Linked DNA regions of Xenopus tropicalis. The protein of the gene in region 1 binds, or shares a complex with, the protein of each later gene. Links are inferred from orthologs where the notes say so. Each region holds a gene or a part of one and is shown on either strand. Other genes may lie near its edges. The genes, in order: kcnj4 and tax1bp3.

Region 1 (11,309 bases):
TCTGCCATGTGGCCATACACAGAAGTGCTTAAATACTGCAGTTGTTTGAACTGGTGCCATGCAGGATTAAATCTGGTAGCTTTATCCACCAACCAACAAGGTGCACTGGCCAATAAAATTATCTGTTGGATGAGATATCACGGATCTCTGGTTTGTCGGTCAAAAATTATCCCTTCAGTGAAACCCATACCCAGAAGGTCTTTTAAGGTCTGTTAAAAATTTCGAGACTCATGTAGTATGGAGCCACAGCAATGCTATAGTTCATCATTTTGCAAGCAAGATTTTACAGACTACACCCACCTAATAGCCAACCATAGGAAATAACTGTAACTGTAAAAAGTGCTGAGGCCCCCTGGCAACCCTGAAAACTGCTGAGTATGTCAGACAGGGTCCCTTGCCTGCTTACAAAATGGGTTTCTAGTGGCAGCCCTGCCTAACTAATCACAGTTTAGTAACTTGCCCACAATGGGATTTCCTTGAAAAGAGCCCTCTAACTGCTGGCTGTCCTGATGAAGGTGTTCATTCACCACAGGGGCCATATTGCATTCTAGATAATCAGCACACTTTCACTTTCAGCACACAACACTGTCCCAATACTCAAAAGCCAAAAAATAAGCCGTGAAAGGTATTCATTTGCCTCATGCAAATAATAAGTCATATGTATAAAATACAGCCTTTTCTTGCAGAATAGAAAGATATTACAAGTCAGTGAGCTCGTCCTGCAAGGTAAGAAATAAGGGAAATGCACTACGTTCCTATCTTGAGCAACTCTAAAAGGCTCAATTACAAGAATAAATTTAAAATGCACAATCAGGCACTAATCTGTGAGCACATAAATGCTATTAACAAAGTTACTTGCACCCAATTACACACTGCTTACAGTACCCTGGTTCTGACTACTCTGACATTATGGCAAAGTACAGGGTGCATGGTATAAGGGAGCCCTGGAATGAAACCGTGGCCACCTTAGTATGTTGTGCCCACACAAAACTCATTTATTGTCAATGCAAGCACATTGGCGCATTGAAAAGTGGCGTCATTTGACATTAAAAATTTGTAAAACAACTTGTGATTTTGTTAACACTAGTTTCCAGTGCAGTATTACAGTAAATCATGCCCAGCACACTATTTAATTGATTCCTGCTATTAAGGTGATATTCTGGGAAAATAACATGGCATCACAATTAAAAAAACACACAATGATTTGTGCTAACCCTAATATCAACTGTAGTTGGTGCCACATTTGTAATATAACTGGGAGTGATGAGTGAAAACTTTATAACTACATGTGAGCATTATAAATAGTTAAATGGGGCATGTAGTTTAGCTAAAAGCTGTCACTACTTGGCTCTACAGCTACCAATGGTGACCATGTCAAAGGTACCAAATGTGTCTCTCATGCCTTAGGGCATAATTCTGTGTGAGTTTTCACTCCTGTATCCCAATAGCCAGTTCCCATCTGTTACATACTTTGCCTGCGGGTCTCCCTTTGCTTTTTTTTCTTCATTTACATGATTGTGCCACTTTTACCATTTTCGCATTGTATTATTCTCTTTTTCAGATATTGCTGCTTCTTTGCCTATTTCTTCTCTTACTTTCCCTGGTTTGTTTATTTATTTTTAGTGTTTGGTTTTACTGATCCTTTTTGCCCAGATCAAGTAAATTGGTAGATCAGATGTTTGTTTTTGAAAAGGTGGCCAATAAATATATGGGTTACTAGACCAGTAGCAAACATAACACCTTCTACTGTTGCCCCTCTGTGTTTCTGTAATATCCCTCTGCAGCCCTATGATCCTCACTGGGTCTGCTTCAGTTTGTATCACACGGATTAAACAAGGGTAATGTTCCCTAGGTATTTCTTAAAGAGGCTATAAGGCTTTCCATATTATACTATTGCCAAACCATAAGGATTATGAAACAGCATTAAAGGGTTTCAAGTCTGCAGAGCAGTCATGCTAAGCCCTCTGTAGCCAACAATAGGGTTTACCGCTAAACAACAGTATAAAAAGTCTGCAAAAACTACTTACAAGCTTACATGACATGTAACAACACATTTGCAGAATGGTTGGAGCCAGGTATTAGCAGTGTAAACACGCAGATATCTCAGAAACCCTTAAAATAGAAAATGAATGTAAATTACAAAAGTGCTCAGAGAAGCACCCTGAGTAAACTGGCCCGTCTGTTTCACCAAATGAGAAGATTTTTCCCTGATATGAGAGGCGCTGCAGCTATGAAGTGAGTTAAGAAAAAAAGCCAGTCCTGGTAACTTTTTAAATCGCAAATTTGGCTCTTCTAGTGCAGAGAGCGCAATAGGGCTCTAGCGATGTGCCCCTCACCCCCTCTGATGCAAAAAGCTATATGCAGCAGTAGCCAAGGGAATGGCATCAACTTGGCCACCTCAGGTGGCTAGGACCCCTGAGGCGGCTCTTGCCTGATGTACACCAAAGGTGGGTGATATTGGCCTAATCTGATTTTTTAGCCCTAGGGCCAAACAGGGATACAGGTCATTGGGGTGAGGACCACATCAACAAGCTGATCCAGTCCTTGATCTCATGGGAAATATAAACCTGCCCAATCAACATCTGCCTTATTTTTAGCCAGATATTGATCAAGCAGGCCTGTTGGAGGGCCCCATACATGGGCAAATAGGCTGCTAAGTTGGTCTGAAGGGGCCGAATCGGCAACTTAAATCCATCCATGTATGACCTTTTTAAGTTAATGTATTCCTGCTATTAAGCCAATATTCAGGGAAAATAACACAGCATCACAATTAATAAAAAAACAATGATTTGCACTAATCCTAATATCAACTGTTATTGCTGCTTCTTTTTTTACTATTTAAAACAGTGTGATGTACAGATGTTATTCAAGAACTGCCGCATTGGTATAAAGGCACCTAATCTGCAGCTAAAATCCGCCCGTCTATGGCCACCTTAAGTTTACATCAATTCATTTTTGGGTTACCTAGTCAATGGCAGGTATTAACTTACAGTAACTGGTGCCCCAGATGCATTGGAGCTTGGTGCAAGAAAACATATGTATTTTGGTACATGCAATTTTCAGCCCTTTTACTGCCCCAGTGGGAGAGAAAAGCACAAGTGCAAAATGGCTCTGCACTCACAGCGTTCCTTCTCCACATACAGTATGGGCATTTAAACAATATTCTCTATAACAATACATGTACTCCATACAGAGTGGAATGGAGCACATACTGTGTAAATGTTTGCACCAGTGGGCACATTGCATTACTAAAGGGCATATGTAAAAAAGGGTGAAAATATAACTAGAGCTCACTGGAGGAAAATTTCACAGCCCTCAATTGTCATGTATGGGATGGTCAGGGGCATATTTATCCAAGGATGAAAATAAGGTGTACTCATTTTTAGCCTTATATAAATATGTGCCCTTATAAATCTGAAATTTCCTTCAGGCAAACTCTAGTGAGCAATTCTTCCACCCTTTAATAAATATGCAACTGTGAGAGAGTTGCCATGCTTTGCTATATATATACACCACACATACCTGTAGCAAACACAGGTGTTATATATAACCACTATTGCACTGGTGTGAATGCCCTTGATGGGAGAAAACAGAGTCTATATATATGTGTGCGTGTGTGTATGTGTGTATATATATAAATATATGTATCCTGCTTATAAGTAGTATATATTGATTCAGATATTGAGAATTTTTTTTTAGTTTATCCCACTTATAAGCATAATACTCTTTAAGGGGCAGAGAGTGCCAGTGTCTTGGCCAAGTTATTCTAAACGACTATTTATAGATTTATGCTAAAATTAACCCCAGTTCACCTGGCCTGTACCTTGAAGGAAGTGGATCCATGGATCCAGAAAAGTGTACTCAAATGGATTTATATTTTACAAAGATAGAGTACAGAATAAATTCAGATTAGAAGTGTATCTTTAATATGAAGCAGAGATGAGAGATGGCATGAGCATATATAGTACTTTAAAGAAGAGAGACCAACACAGAGCAGAGCCAACCGACAGAGATGGTGAAGAGCACGAGAGCCAATATGTTACATAAGCCAGAGAAAAGATTAATGCAGAATGTTAATGAGAAGGTTAAGGTTCTGCAATTCTAGGGGTTTTACACCCTTTGCTAAATGGACAGGCTGGGTGTGAAAATTCTCTCTCATCTGTCAGGGCTTTTTTTTATGTTTCTATGGAAATATATGAGAGATGGGTTGCTTTTGTGTGCCTTGGTATTTAGCTTAACCCCTTGAGCGCAGGAAGTTCACGGAGGGGAGGCTGAAATAAGCATTCAGCCTTTAGCAATTGTAATGCAGTCAGATACAAATGACACTTTCTATTGCTGTATGATATCTTCTCTTGCTTATTCCTCCTACATCCTGATATTTCATAACTGGAAACTTTCTTGTGCTGTTAAAAATACTCCCATTTATCATTAGATTTACATAGTTAAGTTGGTTTGAAAAAAGTCCATTAAATTCAGCCCCTCCTCCAGTGCACATATATAGACTTATACTGACCTATCTATACTCTTACATATGTAAACTATATATCCCAATATCTATACTAATTGTACATTTTAGTATGGTGATAGCCTTGGATATTATGCTTGTTCAAGAAAACATCAAGCCCCTCTTAAAGACATTCATAGAATGTAGATTTACAAGACTGCCTGTTCTTTAGTCCTGTATCTGTGCATTAATTACAGCTCCCAGCTTCCCCCAATGCAGGGAGTTGTAGTACAACTATAACTAGAAGTCTGCAGGTTAAACAGCCATGTCATAGAAGGCATAGTTTGGTTTAACCTACCTGCCTCCAGTTGTGCCTGAAAGCAGCAGTGAGAAAAGGATGTTCCATTTCTAAAACAGTGGTTCCCCAACTGTGGGACTGCCCAAAGTGTTGGCTGGTGGGGACCCAATCTCAAGGCCAGTAGGGGCATGTTTTTTGGGTAAAATGCATATTTCAAATCTTGTATATTGGGTATATTGGGAACTATATCCTTATATAAACATGTTCACCAAATGTTGGATCTCATAGCGGAAGTCCAAAAACACCCTAAACATGTGAAGCTGTAGTTAGTCAGTAACTGTGTTATGTAATGGCAAGGGTTCTTGTGTTCCCCGTTACCATGTAATAATTACAATAGAGAGTCCAGGGAAGCACAACCTTCCTGCACTCTCTTTTATATCATTGTTTATTTATTAGGCATAAAGTCCAGGGGCAGATTCTAGAAATGACACCATTATTGAATGCCACACTGTTTCATTATGAAAACCAGCCAAAAGAAAAAAAAATCACTGCCAAAGCTTTAACAAATAAATAAATAAATAAATAAATAATAATAGTTAGCAAGCAAGAATAAGGGCTACTGTCCATTAACTATATGGATTTATATGGATCCTGGCAGCTAATAGAGTTAGAATGTGCTGTAACTAGTGCAGCAGAGTGTATAGTTGGCATTGCACGCCTACCCACATGGTATAAAAATAACTATTTGAAGGAAATATAATTAGTACCTTTCTACCTGTTTCTTTATGATACTACGAAATCTGTGTAATTATTACACAGTAAGTTTGCATATCAGTATTGTCTGTGAATCGTTTGTAGGCAGATTGCTCTATGGATCCAGCGGAGGAAAAGAGATGGGAGAGATACAGTTATGCAAGTAAAGATTGTGCAATACTGACACTGTCTTGCTTTGCGAATGTGTAAATATGAACATGTAAACCCATTCTTGGCTAGTAATTCATATTAACAACATCTCTGTTGTTCAGTCTATCCTGCTGCGCAGGGCGAGGGGTTGGGGGTTGTATTTAATTGCAACAGTATAGCCCCAAGATGTACAAAAAGAATTGTCATTCCATTAGCTGCTGTATGCACCTCAGTATAAAACAGTAGCAGTTTTACTATAAACAGTTACCTTTCCGAGCCTTCACATTTCTCAGCAAACCTTTAACCCCCCTCCCTCCATAGTTATTAGTAAGATTGGTACTTGAACAGTCCACAAATAATTCCACCCAAGGTAAAAGAAGGTTTCTTACCAGCTTGTTGGTTGGCGATGCCCTAAGAAAAATGAATTCTGGGCACTAAGAGGGCTGCTCCAGTCTCCTTATAATCTCTCTCTTCTTCAGACTTTGGCTCCCTCTTTACTAACTTTGCCCGGCGTGCTGCTGCTGGTGCCTCGGCTCAGGCTGCCACCATGTGCTGCAAATCTCATTTTATCTCCTTACAGGTTCCTCACTGACTCTGACCTCAGCCTGGTCTCCACTTGCCCGCACTTTCACAAGCTGATACTTACACTTCTCCACTCAAATGGCCACAGTTTATTTTAGACCCCTGCAAATATTCTCTATATCCCAAACCATTCTATTCACTGTCTTTCGATTGGTTCTCCTGACTCTTTATAATTGTCCCTTTGTTCTTTTCACAGTATGTCCATCTGGCTTCATTGTCTTTCTATTTCCCTGGCAATTATTCTTTTCTCTCTGCTCTTACCATACGCTTGCTATTTTTCTGTTTCTTCTTCTTTCTGTCTTCTCTTTTGCCCCCTCTCCAAACGCTTTCCTTTACCTCAGTTTCCCACTCCCTGCATCTCTCCCTCGATCTGTTCTGCTCTCTGCCCCACTCTCTCTCTCTGCATCTGAGCAGTTTGTGATTGTGCACAGGAATCTGACAACGCTGGGCTGGATGATCTCCCCTCTACATGTGATCTCAGTGTGTATTCACACTGCATCCCAGGGAACAGAGAGAGGGGAATAGAAGTGTAAGGGCTCAGTATCTCAGATGTCCCCCTATATCTCTGTATACACCTGAGCAATGTCAGGTTCTGAAGGTTCTACTAAACATTTTGTTTAAAAGAGCCTGCTTGCTGTTGGTATAATTTCCTGTAATAATAATGATTATATCATTTTATATCACTTCTCTCTAGTTGGCTCAGTGTTGGCTATTTCAACTTTTACATTTTAGGAATTGCCATTGGTGTGATATTAAGTGATATTTGCTAAAGAGATGCTCTCCATGGCAAACAATGGTCTCCAAGCCTAGCATCTACATTGAAATCTATCTCTAAAACCATCTTCTGGGCTATCTAGTATAAATAAATTTAAAGCAACTGGACTTGTTAAGTAATCATTGAAGATGTTTCACTACTCATCCGAGCAGCTTCTTCAGTTCTTCTGGGCTATGTTTTCTTCACCTGTTACACAGCTTTAAGGAGGTCGGTCACCCTACTTGCAAAAATCTAGGGTGCCCTCTTGCTTTGTTTCTGGTGGTAGCTAATCAGTAATGCTTTAATCACTTACTTTCATGCTTCCCCTCTCAGAAATGACACAATATTGCAAGAAGCTGCGCTGTGGAATTAGGGGACTGTGTTTAGCATCTTCCACCTGAGGGGAGTCTCCACACTGACAACCCTGACACAAAGTGCTGGACTTTCTAAAATAATTCCTTTCCCTAAAAGGGATAGTGGGAGGTAGGACTTCTTTTTATTTTCCTTTTCACCCTTTTTTTCCACTATTCCAAATTCTGTTTCCTTACAGAAATATTTGTAGCTCTTTACTTTTTCTCCTTTTTGGCAGTCTTTGTGGTGTTAATTTGCATTTAAATAAAATCTTTATGGAAAAAAAGAACAATAGTATAGAAGAAAAGTGATTAACTTCCCCATCATGGATAGCAAATGTACTTGTAAAATACGCATCAGACACAGTCTATGAGAACTAATGCCTGCCTCTCTGCTGATGCTAATAGATTTCTTCATTTCTTGCTGCTCCCTTAACCTTGGGCTTTGGGACTCCAGCACCCAAACAAATCCATCAGTCGTGGTGAGTGAACTTAATCAACCCAATATTTATTTATGGTATCCAAAGCCACAGGGAGCTGGAATCTGTTTTCCAACAAGGGATTTTACTGTCAAAAGTCAGGCGCATGGGATGTTGTATTATATAAAAACCTCACATTTTGACTTTTTGAATTTGTAAAAAGTTCCCGGAAGTAAAGGATATTTAGTTTGTAGTAGTGTCTGAAAACATGCAGTTGGCTTTTCAGAATAGGGGCAATCACACATGAAGCTACTTGTAGCCAGTATAGTATTCTCTATGGCAGCGTATTCTGGCATTTTGTAGCCACAACAAGAAGCACCATGTGTCATTGTCCTTATTCTGTGTCATAGTCCTAATAGATTTTACCTCTGGGCTTGCTATGGATGCTGTATTATAAAGCTCCATATTGCAGAAGCTAATAATTCAGTTCATAAAAACCCCAACTTATAATAAAATTCCTGTATTGGCCCAGTCAGAATTTCAGTAACACCTTAGCAAGTTGTGCTTACAGTTTTCCCACACCCATGTCCACCACACAAGGATTTAGTGTCCCAATGCCTGTAAGTCATACTCACCTATCCAGGCCATTGTTTAACCAAGAGGCATCCACAAAATCACTGGTGTGAAGAAGCATTTTAAAATAGGTTTACCTTTAATAAAAGTTATCCTTTTTTGAGCATGTTAAGCATTGATCTCACTACAAGTGTGCTAGTTTTTGGGGCATATTACTATGTACAACCTGATAAGACATAACACAGGAACGCAATTAGGATAAATTACCTCCCACATGTAGATCAGACTGATGATAATAGAAGACCCATCCGATTATGTAAAAAAGAACCCAAGACAGTTATATCAGATGTTGCTAGGAGACTTTCCAAAAATAGTTTAGGTAAATGGCTCAGACTTCTGTTTGCTCTTCCAACAGAATGAAAGGCATGTACAAAAAACCTGGTTACACGGCTCTTCTTATCGGAGGGATCCATTACAATCTGGGTTGGAGGGTTGAAAAGTATCTAGATTAATAGTCCTGAAAAATCACCCACAATTCCCTAGTCTTTCCAAGCATATTGTATTATAGAGGGGAACTATTGAAATACAAAAGAAAAAACTTTTCAGTTCAGTTTGTTCAGTAAGGACAGGTAGCACTGATAAAGTACATGCTACTTGGTACTTCCAGTCACTTGTGTTTGCGAGTATAAATGGACCTGCTGCCACGCTGGAATCTACTTGACTGCATTCAAGAGACAGAAATTGTGTGATGCTGTAAAAATGTGATTAACGCTGCCTTTATATTAGAGTTTTACTTCTCATGAGTCACAGGTTTATTTACGTAAGGGTATTCCCCTGCATACAAAAAGACTCCAGGCCACGCTAGGATGCGGAGTACTAAGCAGCCCTCATGTCGGTAAGAAGAAGCTTTCCAATTAGAGCAGTGCCTAGTAAGGCTCACCCCTGGGCAAAACTTGGGAGGTACCCACTGTACCACTGGCTGATTCCAGAGAGCCACGATAGATACAGGCAACTGCTAGAGCAGGAATGGAAACCTGTGAGCCAGATGTGGCCATCCAGTGGTTGGTAATGGCTCCCTAGTGTTTGATTTCATCATTTAGGTGCTAATTAGCCCACTACCTGGAAACAGTTGACCAGTGCTGTACTAGAGGAATGATAACTAGTTGACAGGCCAAAATTATAATGCTGAAAAAAGTTACTGGCACACATTTCAAAATAATTATTTTAAAATATATTGTATTTTTATAAAAAAAAAAAAAGATGCCACACTTGTGCTGAAAGAATAAGGTGCACACGTCAGCGCCACTGTGCCCAATCTGTGGCAAAATGCACGCGCAATTGCATTTCTTTTGTCGTTTGCATCCCCAGTGATGCTGGAACTGTGGAGAAAAAATGGTGTATTGTAGGGGGGAAACATAGCAAATGCACATAAAATTGCACTTTGTGCACCACATCTTGGTAAGTGAATGTGTCCTTGAATGTTTTTCAGGCAAAAACAAGCAAACAAAAATGACATGAAAATCAAAATCTCTAATGCAATTGCAAAATATGCAATAAAATTTTAGGGCAAAACACAGTGCTATTTTTGGGTTGTGACCAATGGGTTAAAATTCCTTGCCCTAAAATTCCTTGCAGCAAACACTGCTATTAAAGTACACACATCAATTAAATTAAACCATTGGCCCAAAAATTCCCTGCTTTTACAGCTGATCTAGAATAAAGTTATCTCTGGTTTTATATTTTATTACCATATATTTCATACCAGCACCCTTGTCTGTTCCCAAGTGTAACAATTAATATAACACTTTGTATTTTCTTTCAGATAAAAGTAATGTGGGTTTATGTGCCGTATTAACAAATGTAAACAGTATCCCTTGTACAACCAGTTAGCAGTGAACTTTTATAATGTAATAAAAATTGGTTACTGTACCAGGGAATATTTGCCTATGATACTACATAGGACTTCAATAAGGTAATGCAATAAAAAGAACAACAGTTGGTAAAGTATGTTAACCAATAGCAACTAACTAGGTGTTTACTTTCAAACAGCTTATGTGCCACCTGCTGATTGGATGCAAGATTGGTTTTGTATTAGATACAATAATTTATGATGATCGCAAATATGAAGAAAATGCTTACAAAAAAATCGTATTAGTCACGATAATATCGTATTGGCAAACCAAAAGTCACAAAATTTTCGGATCCGAACATTCGTAAACGGCAGGAAAACCTTTGACTTTGATCCTTCTGTGCATGTTTTTTGAAGCCTCCCATAGGACTCAATGGCACTCTGCAGCTCCAACCTGGCCCAAGGAAAGTCTCCCATAGGACTCAATGGCACTCTGCAGCTCTAACCCGGCCCAAGGAAAGCCTCCCATAGGGCTCAATGGCACTCTTCAGCTCCAACCTGGCCCAAGGAAAGTCTCCCATAGGGCTCAATGGCACTCTGCAGCTCCAACCTGGCCCAAGGAAAGTCACGATACCGAAGCTTAAAAGAATCCGAAACTTTTGTACTCGGTGCGACAAATACGATTTTGTCACACAAATTGTCACACTTTTTGTTGCAAAGTACGAAAAAGTACAATTTTTTTGTATTTGGAAGCGATCGTACTTTGATAAATGAGCCCCATAGTCTGTTAAAAATCTTTTGAACATTAAATAAACCCAATAGGATTGTTTTGCCCCAGTATCAATTCATGCAGATTAACTACAACTTATATATTTCTCAGAGCACAGCCAAAAAGCTTATTGCATTCCTCATTCTCAGCCATCGAATGATAGAAATGTATATACTGGTATTATTGATTATTTTACTGTTTGGTGACACACTTATGCCCAAAAAGGTGTTTGTTAACTACAGGAAGAAATATAAATGTAATATATGCAATATACTATATAAATATATAAAGGAGTAAGTAGACTAAATCTGGCCATACACGCACCGATAATATCATAGGAAACCTTGTTTCAGTGGGTGTATTGTGGC
Region 2 (10,673 bases), on another chromosome or scaffold:
CCAGGCACCCCAGTCCAGTACCTTTGCAGGCATATACTGTAGTTTTAAAGCATCTCAGTGTAAAAACTAGGATAAGACTTATGGAGTTGTTCCCTGCTATAGTGCAATCCATTTAAAGCTCTATACAGTACTAGTCATACCTGCAATTATTGCACTATCCATGCTAGCTTACTGAGTTCCTTGTAAACGTGAGGCTCAAGAAGGAAGACTACAACATATTTCCTGACCTGCCTTGGGGATTATAGTAGAAAAAGAAGACACTGTATTCACCAGTATACTAAAAAGGTATGAATTTATTGGAAGATTCTAAAACTAATAGAACAAGGTTTTAGGGTTCCTGCCTTTTTGAGGTGCACAAATAGAGTGGACAGATATCTGTTGCAAAAGGCACCGCCCAACTACCTTTGTGCCTTCAGCTAATTCTCAACATACATATCCATATAGACTAAGCATAGTCCTAGTTATAGTGCAAAGTCCATGCATTATGACTCATATAGTTATAGTCAATTAGCAACTGCAAAGGATACAATCCTACAATGTAAATAAATGTCTTTTTTCATAACTAATAAAAATACCAGTAAGGTAACACTTCAAAGATTAAGCATTAAAATCTGCGTGTAACTGCTTACTTTAGTGAAAGCAAAAGATCATACAGAAGCAATCAGTACCAAGTCACAGTTACATGTATTAGTCACGTTATACTGTGTTTATATATAAACAGTCCTAGAGTACACTCATATATATCAAAAAAACATTATATATATATATATATATAGATAGATAGATAGACACGTACCTAGTATCTGCACATCACCTAGCAGGGTATGTAGCAACCTCACTCCCTGTGAACAACATTTGTTGCTTTAAATGAAAGTTCAGTTCCTCAAGCCTAAAGGGTTGGCCACTGGTTCTTTTTTTTTTCTATGTGAAAAGACTCTGTTGCTACCTCTATAATCCACTCTTATGTACTTGTAAACGGTTCTCATCCCATGACAAGCGCCTTTTCTCCAGAGGAAACAACCCCAACCCTGATACTCTAACTTTATAGTTTAATATTTTCATTCCTACTACAAATTTACCACTTTATTTGCCCGTCTCTTATATGCCCTATTTATGGACAACAGCCCAAATGGGTTAGATCAGCAGGAAGTGAAGGAGGACTGCAGCTGCTCTTCCTCCCCTGATGGTGCACTGGTAAATATGGGGCATCTGAAGATTACACTTTCATTCCTTCCTCGTCCTTAGTACCTGGATACTGGTCAATATGATCGCCCAGCCATACACATATTCCAAATATCGATTGTTATGTGTATGGCCAGCTCTACCCAATTAAAAGTTGATCTGCAATCCAATTGTAAACAAAGAGTCTTCATTTTTGGAACATTAGGGTTCTTAGGAGTCCCATCAAAGACTATATTTCCATCCCTGCTGTCAGTTCCCATAACTAACCTGGGCCAACTATCCAAATTGTATGCTCACCAGAGACCAGCCTGGGAAATGTTCTTTGCTGTGATCATGAGTTTACAAAGACATTCTCAGCTAATGCTAAAAGCAATTACTAGTCTACCTAAGGCCACAAAATATTTTAATGATACAATAATTCACCTTAATAAAGGCACACAACAAAAATAAAAATCCAACAGAGACCTTCAAAGTAAGGTAGATTTTATTCAGCAAACGTGTCCACATAGAAAAGCAGAATAACAAATCTCCCCCCCTTTTCCCAGTAATTTACAAAGTATAAAGACTTTTTGGCACATTGGTCAAAGGGAAAGCAAACAGGAAAGCACAGATCTCTGCAATCTACTACTGTAATGTCAGGTAAAAACTCACACACTTTATCTGCTGGCATAGAAATTAGTGATTACCAATACTTTAAATCACGTCACTCAATAAAGCTTTCATGTGTCATTCAAACCTGTCTGATTGCTAGGGTCATGTAGACCTAGCAACAAGAACAATACGCAAACAGACCACCCGTCCAATGTTGATGGATTATAGGGCAAGCCAGTGACTAGGTGTGAACAAGCAGATAACATTAGCCAGTAAATGCAGTTGTTCGAGAGGTAAGAAGGCCTGAAACGTCCAACCATATCCATGTGTTTGGTCAGATAAGCCCTAGGTTTATGTAGAATAGTAACTAAGTCTGTCAGTGGCCTGGAAATGCAAGTCAAGTGAATCTGGGGCTGGGGGCCAGCACTGGTTCAAATGAAGTAGGACATTAGTGTGCACGTCTAGCAGCAGGGACACTACCTACAGCTTGAGTAGTGAAAGTAACACAAACGTGTGCAAAACGCATACAAAACAGGAACATTAATGAAATGTGCAACTTAGTGGTTTAAGCAGCCCTCTCTCTGAAGCTGACTTTGTTAGGGATCAGTCTGGATCTCAGGGGTCCATAGCACTCAGAAGCCTAAATTACACGATTTTCCTCCTTTGGTCATTGGGGCTAGAGTGCAGCTTTAAAGGCCAAGGTCCCACAGGGAACCCATCCCTACACACTGCAGTAGGCCGGCAGGCAAAAGCTCCTGGTGAGCTTCAGTTCCCATTCAAGCTGGATATAGTAATTCAGACATGCTTTTCCCAAAAAACAAATAGCTATAACCTATATAGGGGTTTTGAAAAAATATCAAATGTAACATCTAGTGTTTATTTGGTAATCTATACATGCACGTCTATTGGCTGCTTTCACCTAATGAAACTGTTTGCAATAAAAACAATAAGGTTTTATATTGCTGTATGAAGGGGTATTTACCATCAACCCGAATGATTATTTTAAAAACATTTTTTCCTCTTTAATTCAGTTACAAATTGTGATACTGGGGTCCCATATGGAATAAAGCACACAAGCAAGAATAATAGTGACACCCTTGCCTGTCATATCAAACAATCAGACTCCTAAGAGTATATTCCCATATAAAAAGGATATGAGCAATAGCACCTACTGAGCTCCAACAGGACTGGAATTTCTGTTTTGTGACTCACATGTGGGCATTAGCAAGACTGGCAGCAATGGGTAGCACAGCCTGCCCTGCACCGATAGTAGGAAGAGGCACTTTAGTGTTTCTAACAAAAGCTTTATACAAACTATCACTCAATGTCATTCTGCAACTTGTGATAAAACAAGAACTGCTGCGGGGCCCCATGAGAGGATGTGGAACTTAAACGGCAAAGGATTTGTTCACATTATGCAGCCTAATATGTTTCCATGTGACTGGGTAGACAGCTTCAGCCACAGTTACAATTCTATAAAAGCTTGGCCTGCCAGTAGCGTAGCGTTCTCCAGTTCTGAATTCTCATTGGTCCAAATGAAACATGCTGCAGGTCATACACCAGAACTCAAGCAGCCACTGACTTACTAGACAAATACAGACATTAGTCACGTCCGTACAGGAAAATCATGATTCCAGTCTTACTGATGTAATGCACACAGGCAAAACAGCTTCTGGGAAAGATTAACTCATTCTGGTCCAAACTGGAGAAGTCTCAACTGATGAACATAAACATATAGGAGTGTCTTGCCACAATCAAAAGCAGTTTATTACAAGCCTAGGAATATCGTTTGGTCAGAAATTTAGAAAAGTAATGCAAAGTACATACAGTACAGTTAAAACTGGAAATGATACAAGACAGTTAAACTAGCTATATGGAGTGGTTTCATATATATATATTTATATAAATTAGTACAGGCCAGTCAGTTGCTGGTGGCAGTGGGACTGCATATGAATTGCTAGAGATATAGATAAAAGGGGACAGGGGAACTTGTCTGATTGTCTGTGCTGTAGTAACACCAGTAACAAAGCAGTATATTCCCTGGGCAATCTATTTCCTGGATTCTCCTATTAAACCTTGGCCAGTTGGGCGCCAAAGTCAGTAACCTCTGACAGCACTAGGTCTTGAAGCCCCTCAAAGAGACACATACCCTAAATGGAACAATGTAAAATTGTCCAGAATGCTCTTCTGAGCACTTTTGCAATTTATAGGTAAATTTTGTTTTAGATTTGACGACATTGGCAGTTTTAACACTGCTAATATCAGAGTGTCCCCTGTTGATTGGGCTCAGGGTAGGGTTCTTGTCCAGTTGTCTCTTGTAATGTGCCAAGAGGGTAAGAATAAAACTGAGCAGAGAAGCGACAGGAGGCTTTCTGCTTCTGTAAATTAATCTTTTGCCATTCGTCTGGCCCTTACCTGGGCCCAAAAACAGGGGGCACTCCTGTTACACATTCACATCAGCAGTGTAGTAACTGGTAATATCATGAAAAAAGTCAAATTGATAAGAGCGCTTACACCTACAAATTTTGCCTAGATTAAGCATTTATTGATTCAGCTGATTGACCCTGACGGTAATTAGAGGCAGTGACCCAGGCTGTACCCAGAGACTGCTGATGGCAGCCCTTGTGATAAATGCTGAAAGGCGAGGATGACTCAGTACAAACTCTACTTCCCCTCCTAGAAGAGACTATTTGCTCTGCAAGTACAAATCTGTGTATAAACCAGTGATACAGGGACCTCTGTTTACATGTTGAATTTTGTAAAATAAAGTCCCCATATTTGTGGTTGCTCCAATAGAAGCAACTTAACACCTGAAAGTATTAAAAAAGTGAACTGGGAATCGCATAGGAGATACCTACCTGCTTTATCTTTGCAGTGGAAAGATGTGTGCTTTTCTACTGGGGCAGTAAGAAATTGCTCTTTCATTTGCAAGGATAAAGACGGGCAGAATTTAGGCCAATGGGAGCCAGGCACATTAGAATTCTTTTTGGTTTGTTTTGGTGCGGAACAAGCAGTAGCCTGGGAGGGACAGAAAGGAGCCAGCAACCTATAGCCCTGCAATGTGCTGCTGGTGTGTGTAATACAGAACTGAAATGTGTCCGGGTAAGTACACCTGTGTAGCTAAGAGATTCAGACTCTCGGGAATGTGATGCTTAGGGTCTCATGGACTGTCTCACAGCCTCTTGCAAGGATTTTCTGGTCACAAGCAGCCGGACAACCTCCTCATTTTTCTTGGTGAGGCGTTTCCTTGCCTGGTCGTGCGTTACCATTGTCATGTCCCATCCATTTACCTGAAACACACCGACAAATAATAAACGATTAAATAAACTGCATGGTTGTATACGAAACTCTGTCCAAAATAGGTGAGAGGCTAACATTACTACTCTAACGTTACTACTGCTAACATTTTTTAACACATAGAGTATGGCGCACACACACAGGCAGGGTAGGACAGGCAGAGTATGGAACACACAGGCAGCATAGGGCAGGCAGAGTATGGCACACACAGGCAGCATAGGGCAGGCAGAGTATGGCACACACAGGCAGCATAGGGCAGGTAGAGTATGGCACACACAGGCAGGGTAGGGCAGGCAGAGTATGGCACACACAGGCAGGGTAGGGCAGGCAGAGTATGGCACACACAGGAAGCATAGGGCAGGCAGAGTATGGCACACACATGCAGCATAAGGCAGGAAGAGTATGGCACACACAGGCAGCATAAGGCAGGAAGAGTATGGCACACACAGGCAGGGTAGAGCAGGGAAGGCAGAGTAGGGAAGGAGACAGGAAAACCTATTATGACTATACAAGAAACTGAAACTCCAAGATGAACAGTTTGTACTGCTCTACATACAGGACACAATGCTGGCACAGTCTGAGGTGTGAACAGGTGAACAATGTGAGCGCCAACGGTCTGAGCCTGGGTTTTGAACAATGGTATCAGCAGCCAGACAGGTGGGGGGGGGGCACACAGGCTACCAGTTGAACACCACTACTCTAGAGAGATAAATGGCATTTCAGCATCTGGATGTCAGAAGAAAAAGGATGGGTTTGGCAGATGCCAGGAGAACACTAACTGCCTGAATGCATAATGCCCCCTGTAAAGCTTGGTGGAGCAGAAATAATGGTCTGGGCCTGTTTCCAAGGTTTGGGCCCCTGGTTACACTGAGTAAACCTTACGGCTGCAGTGTAGAATTAAATTCAGTGTCATGCTTCCTACTTTGTGGCCCCAATTTAATTGAAGTTACTTTCCTGTTTTAGCACAGTAATCTCCCATGCACTAAGATAAGTCAATACACCATAGGTTTGCTGAGATGGGAGTGGAAGAACTTGACCCGCTCTCAGTATGGCAACATGTAGCAGATTAACCATAGCTTTAAAGGGATTGTTCACCTTTACATTAACTTATAGCATGATGTAGAGAATTCTATTCTGAAACAATCTGCGATTGGTCTTCATTTTTTTGCTTGTGTTTTTTTGTGAAGATTCTCATTCATCCAGGTCATGGTATGTTTGTATTAATAAGTCAAATTAACTGGACTTGCTGTGTTTTTCTTGAAGACGTTTGGCCAGTCATCCAACTGGTTTTGTCAATTCAGAATGGTTTCTGAATTATTCAGCAGCTCTCCAGTTTGGAATTTTAACAGCTATCTGGCTGCTAGGGTCTTCTTTATCTTAGCAACCAGGCAGTTGTTCAAATGAGAAACTGGAATATGGATAGAAGTGAGTTTGAATAGAAAGAGAAAAAAGTAACAATAAAAACAAAATTGTAGTCTCAAATAACAATGGTTTTTTTTGGCTGCTGGGGTCAGCCACCAACCCTTTGAAACCTGGAAAGTGGCAGTATAGAAATGCAAATAATTTAATAATGCTAAAAAATAAAAAATGATGACCAAATGAAATGTTGCTAAGAACTAACCATTCTACAACATACTAACTAAAAAGTGAACTACCCCTTTGTCAATTGGGAAAAAGCCCAGGAATACCCACCCCCCACGGACAGCATTGTGATTAGTTGCAGATATAAGGACATTAGGGCTTATGCAATGGTCAGTGGATTGTCAGGTAGTGATCAGCTATTTACCTGCATTATTTTGTCTCCAATTTGAAGTCCAGCCACCTCCGCAGGGCCTCCCTCTGTTACTCGTGTCACATAGATACCCTGAAAGCATCAAGTTATATTCTTACTGCTAATTCAGTAGTTAAAGTTGAAAAGCTTTTACAGACTGGGACTTATTTATAAAGGCATGTAAAGAAAAACAGCATTGAACCCCTACATATCCACCGGGCACTTTAATGCCACAGTATGCCATGGACACCATGTAGAATCCTAGAAAGCTGTGTATTGATTAGATGCAAATTTACAGGTGAATATAAAAAAGTTTTTTAAAGCTCAAGTATAGTTAGTAAGGACTATTTCATCAATCATTGCATGGCATTAATTCACACTTAAAGGAGAAGTTAAGGCTAAGTCACTTGGGGGTGCCAAAATGTTAGACACCCCCAAGCGACTTTAATCGCTTACCTTGTACCCCGGGCTGGTGCCCCTGTTAGGAGAAAACAGCACCAGCCCGGGGTAGCAGCGAGTGTGGTCTCCTCTTCCTTTCAGCTTTTCACTCTACTGCACATGCGCTGGCGCAGGGATTTTGACACAGAAGGAAGCGCTCGCTGCAAGTACCCCGGGCTGGTGCGGTTTTCTCCTAACAGGGGCACCAGCCCAGGGTACAAGGTAAGCGATTTAAGTCACTTGGGGGTGCCTAACATTTTGCCCCCCCCCAAGTGACTTAGCCTTTCCTTGTCTAACATTTATTCTACACTTTTGTTGTTTAAAAGATCTTTATTAAATATGTCCATAGAGTAGCTCTTTTATAAGCACAGGTGCTAAATTGCACTATTGCAGGTACCAATAGCTTCCAATCAGCAAACACTTTTGATCAGTCTACTAAACGTTAGCAAAGATTGGCTGCTAGCAGTAACCACACTTACATTAGCACCTTTGATACTAAATTAGCCACAAAAGATCCATACTTTAAGCAACAGTAATGCCATAACGTCATTATTTGTAGTGCCACAGTCTATGATGTGTGTATAAAAGGAAGAGCCACAGATCGTAGATTTTATGACCTGAAGCACTTCCAGGGGCAGATTGCCAGCTTTTACAGCAGGTTATCTGTCTTACCCCCATTCCAAAGCAATAAGGAGGGTGGGGGAGTGGTCTCCCTAGTGGCCCAGGGAATCGCAGATACATGGAAAACACATGTCATGGCTTCAATCTACAGCCCCCTGCCATCTCTAGCTGCACGTAGTGGTTTCTCTAAACACTAAAACTGCCCCATGCAGACCCATGTGTGACAGGAATAATGTCTGCCTGTCACTGCACACATTTCAGCCTGAAAGTGTCCATTTTCTGGCCAAAATCCAGCCTGTGTGTAGATTCCTTTCATTGCCTACATACCACACAAGGTGATAGCAAGCTGTGTATGCATTTTCTCTCCTGGCAAATGTAAAGCACTCATATAAGCCATAGTAATCTTTGCAACTGTCATTACATGCTGAGCTATCTCACTCAAGTATCAATGCGCAATCACAAGAAGTTCCAACCTTGTCTGTCTTGTCCTCGGAGAAAGGGTTTTGTGCCGGGTCCTGGTCGATTCCTCCTCCAATGCTGAAGCCAAGGATCAGATTATCCCCTTGGTGCAATTTATAGATTTCAACCCGTTGCTACAGAAAAAAAGGAATGGAAATTAGTTCCAAATCAAGGACTGAGGTTTAACCCTTCTGGTTATTAGCCATCCCATAAACCCAGTCTGAATATCAGTAACAGTTCCATTCAGTGTAATTTCTTATTTGCTGTTCTTGAAACCAGAGCTGAATGAACTGCTTGACAATGTCCTGGCCAAAGAAAGGACCTTCAACCACTGGGCCAATGTAATTCTTAGCACCATCTTGTCCTCGAAAATACATTGTGTTGTGCATTTGCAGCCCCATGTTGTGAATCTCACCTACCACCACCACCCTGTATCAGGGGTCACTTAGCAACCCCTGCAGTTCCTTATGACTTACAACAGAGATTGGTAAAATTGGAGCTTGGGCCCCTGGCATTCACAATGATTGCTGAACCGCTCTCAGAGCAGCTGTACTTGATATGGGATGAGTGATAACAGGTATAATAGGGCAAAATGGTGAGAGTAAAACATGATATCACTGTTTCCTAATATGTTGGCCTTTGTTTATTTTTAAAGTATAACTTCATGGATCCCCGCCCCCCCCCCCCCCAAAAAAATGGTGTATTACCTTGGACCCGGCCCTGAGAAAAGAATGTGTTCATAGGTAATTGATAAAATAACTGCTAATTTGAAAACAGCACGAAACAGAATATGCAGGGGTTTGTGGAAGGCAGCTTGGCCTACTGCCGTTTTGGAGAGTTACCCAGATATGTGTTTCTATGCACCATATGCCAAACAGCCATGACTCATTGGTTAAACATCTCAGGATCTGGCTCACCCCAACAGAAACTTAGATACGTCTCTATCGCTTGGCCTTCAGCTAGGACTGTCACGCATTCCTCCTGTATCTAAGCCGTCTCTGTCAGAAGGGGGCCACATTTCTATAAGAACATATTCTACTCTATTCTATAACAACACTGCTGAAGAGACAGAGCCAAATGTATCCAATGCAGATATACATTTTTTCAGCAGCCAATACAATTTCTTAGGGTGAAGACACACAGAGCTACTTAGCAGCAGCTACTTTTCACAGCTACTAAACTCCAGAATATACCCTGCCATAGACAATACTGAGAATTGCCTCTGCTAAAACACACGTAGAGACAGTTATCAGTAAATGATCAGCATTGTCTATTTTAGTAGCCACTATAAGTAGCCACTACTAGTAGCTCTGTGTGTCTTCAACCTAAGAAATACAAAATATCCCTACTGTGCCCAACACAATGGTAATTAAAAGTCCAGCCAGCACCCAGAATTGTGATGCAACGTGTCCATAATTTATTTGTTTTTAATCCAAGACAGCAGATCTAAAGATAAAATAAGACTGCATTGTGTGGGCTTTTGAAAACCCACTGGTAGCAGCAGGCTGGCTGTTGGGACAATATTGCAGAATGGGGAAGAAACTGGTGGCTCCAGCCCTTTGGAACCTATGGAGAATGGTAGCAAAGCAAATAAAACCACTGAATAAAAGAGAACAAGTTCTCTGTACTTGATCTTCCATAAGCCTGACTTTGACCCTCGCAAGCACTGAAGAAGGAATGATAACGTGACTATAGAGTTGTATTCCATGGCCAGGATATCCAGCATTTGGTCAGACCCTCTTTAGGAAGGTTACAGCTATATAAATAAAGACACTGTCATGACATTCACTTGCAGTAGTTCCAATAGAAGTAATGGTCAAAACGGAGCTTAAAGTACAAAAATCACTTCTCTCCAACTGGAAGCTCACAGGCTTAATACAGGCCAAGGTCTCCGTGTAGATAATGAGCCCTTGGAGGACAGCATTTCTGCCTCAATGCCAGCCTTCCCCAGTAGATAAAAGGTGTATCTAACAGGGTGTAACCCTTAGACAAACATACTAGGAAAAGTAACACACCAGGGACCTCTGACCTGCCTTATATGAGTCACGCAGACATGCTGGTACAAGCGTGCCCGTGCTATGGCACTGATTTGGTGCAAATAGTTTGCAAAGACGAAGAATGCAACTTGTAGCACAGATACACCTGACCCCACCAGCTCTGTCATGTTTATGTAAGACACGCTGCTCTATTTATAATGTCAGCTAACAGATTTTTTGTTTTTAGTTAAGTGATCTATTCAGGTAGTAAAAATTGCAACCGACTTTAATATAATTGATTTTTTAAAAATTGCAAATTGCCCTTAAGAGGTGCCATA

Evidence for each region.
Region 2: the proteins of kcnj4 (region 1) and tax1bp3 are in contact, whole or in part, in a crystal structure (PDB 3GJ9), measured with the Homo sapiens proteins. The link is inferred for Xenopus tropicalis from reciprocal best matches to the Homo sapiens genes KCNJ4 and TAX1BP3. Residues at the interface, in NP_004972.1 of Homo sapiens: Arg440, Arg441, Glu442, Ser443, Ala444, Ile445; in NP_055419.1 of Homo sapiens: Leu27, Ile28, Leu29, Gly30, Phe31, Ser32, Ile33, Gly34, Gly35, Asp38, Gln39, Gln43, Asn44, Thr58, Arg59, His90, Asp91, Arg94, Leu97, Thr98.

Annotation. Positions count from the first base shown.
Region 1 is NC_030680.2:122,454,987-122,466,295, forward strand, and holds the start of kcnj4 (inward rectifier potassium channel 4), read right to left. Parts: upstream 6,710-11,309; 5' UTR 6,035-6,709; intron 1-6,034. UniProt on the Homo sapiens protein: Inward rectifier potassium channels are characterized by a greater tendency to allow potassium to flow into the cell rather than out of it.
Region 2 is NC_030678.2:30,653,063-30,663,735, forward strand, and holds the end of tax1bp3 (tax1-binding protein 3), read right to left. Parts: intron 8,494-10,673; coding exon 8,374-8,493; intron 6,935-8,373; coding exon 6,857-6,934; intron 5,064-6,856; coding exon 4,926-5,063; 3' UTR 1,649-4,925; downstream 1-1,648. UniProt on the Homo sapiens protein: May regulate a number of protein-protein interactions by competing for PDZ domain binding sites. Binds CTNNB1 and may thereby act as an inhibitor of the Wnt signaling pathway. Competes with LIN7A for KCNJ4 binding, and thereby promotes KCNJ4 internalization.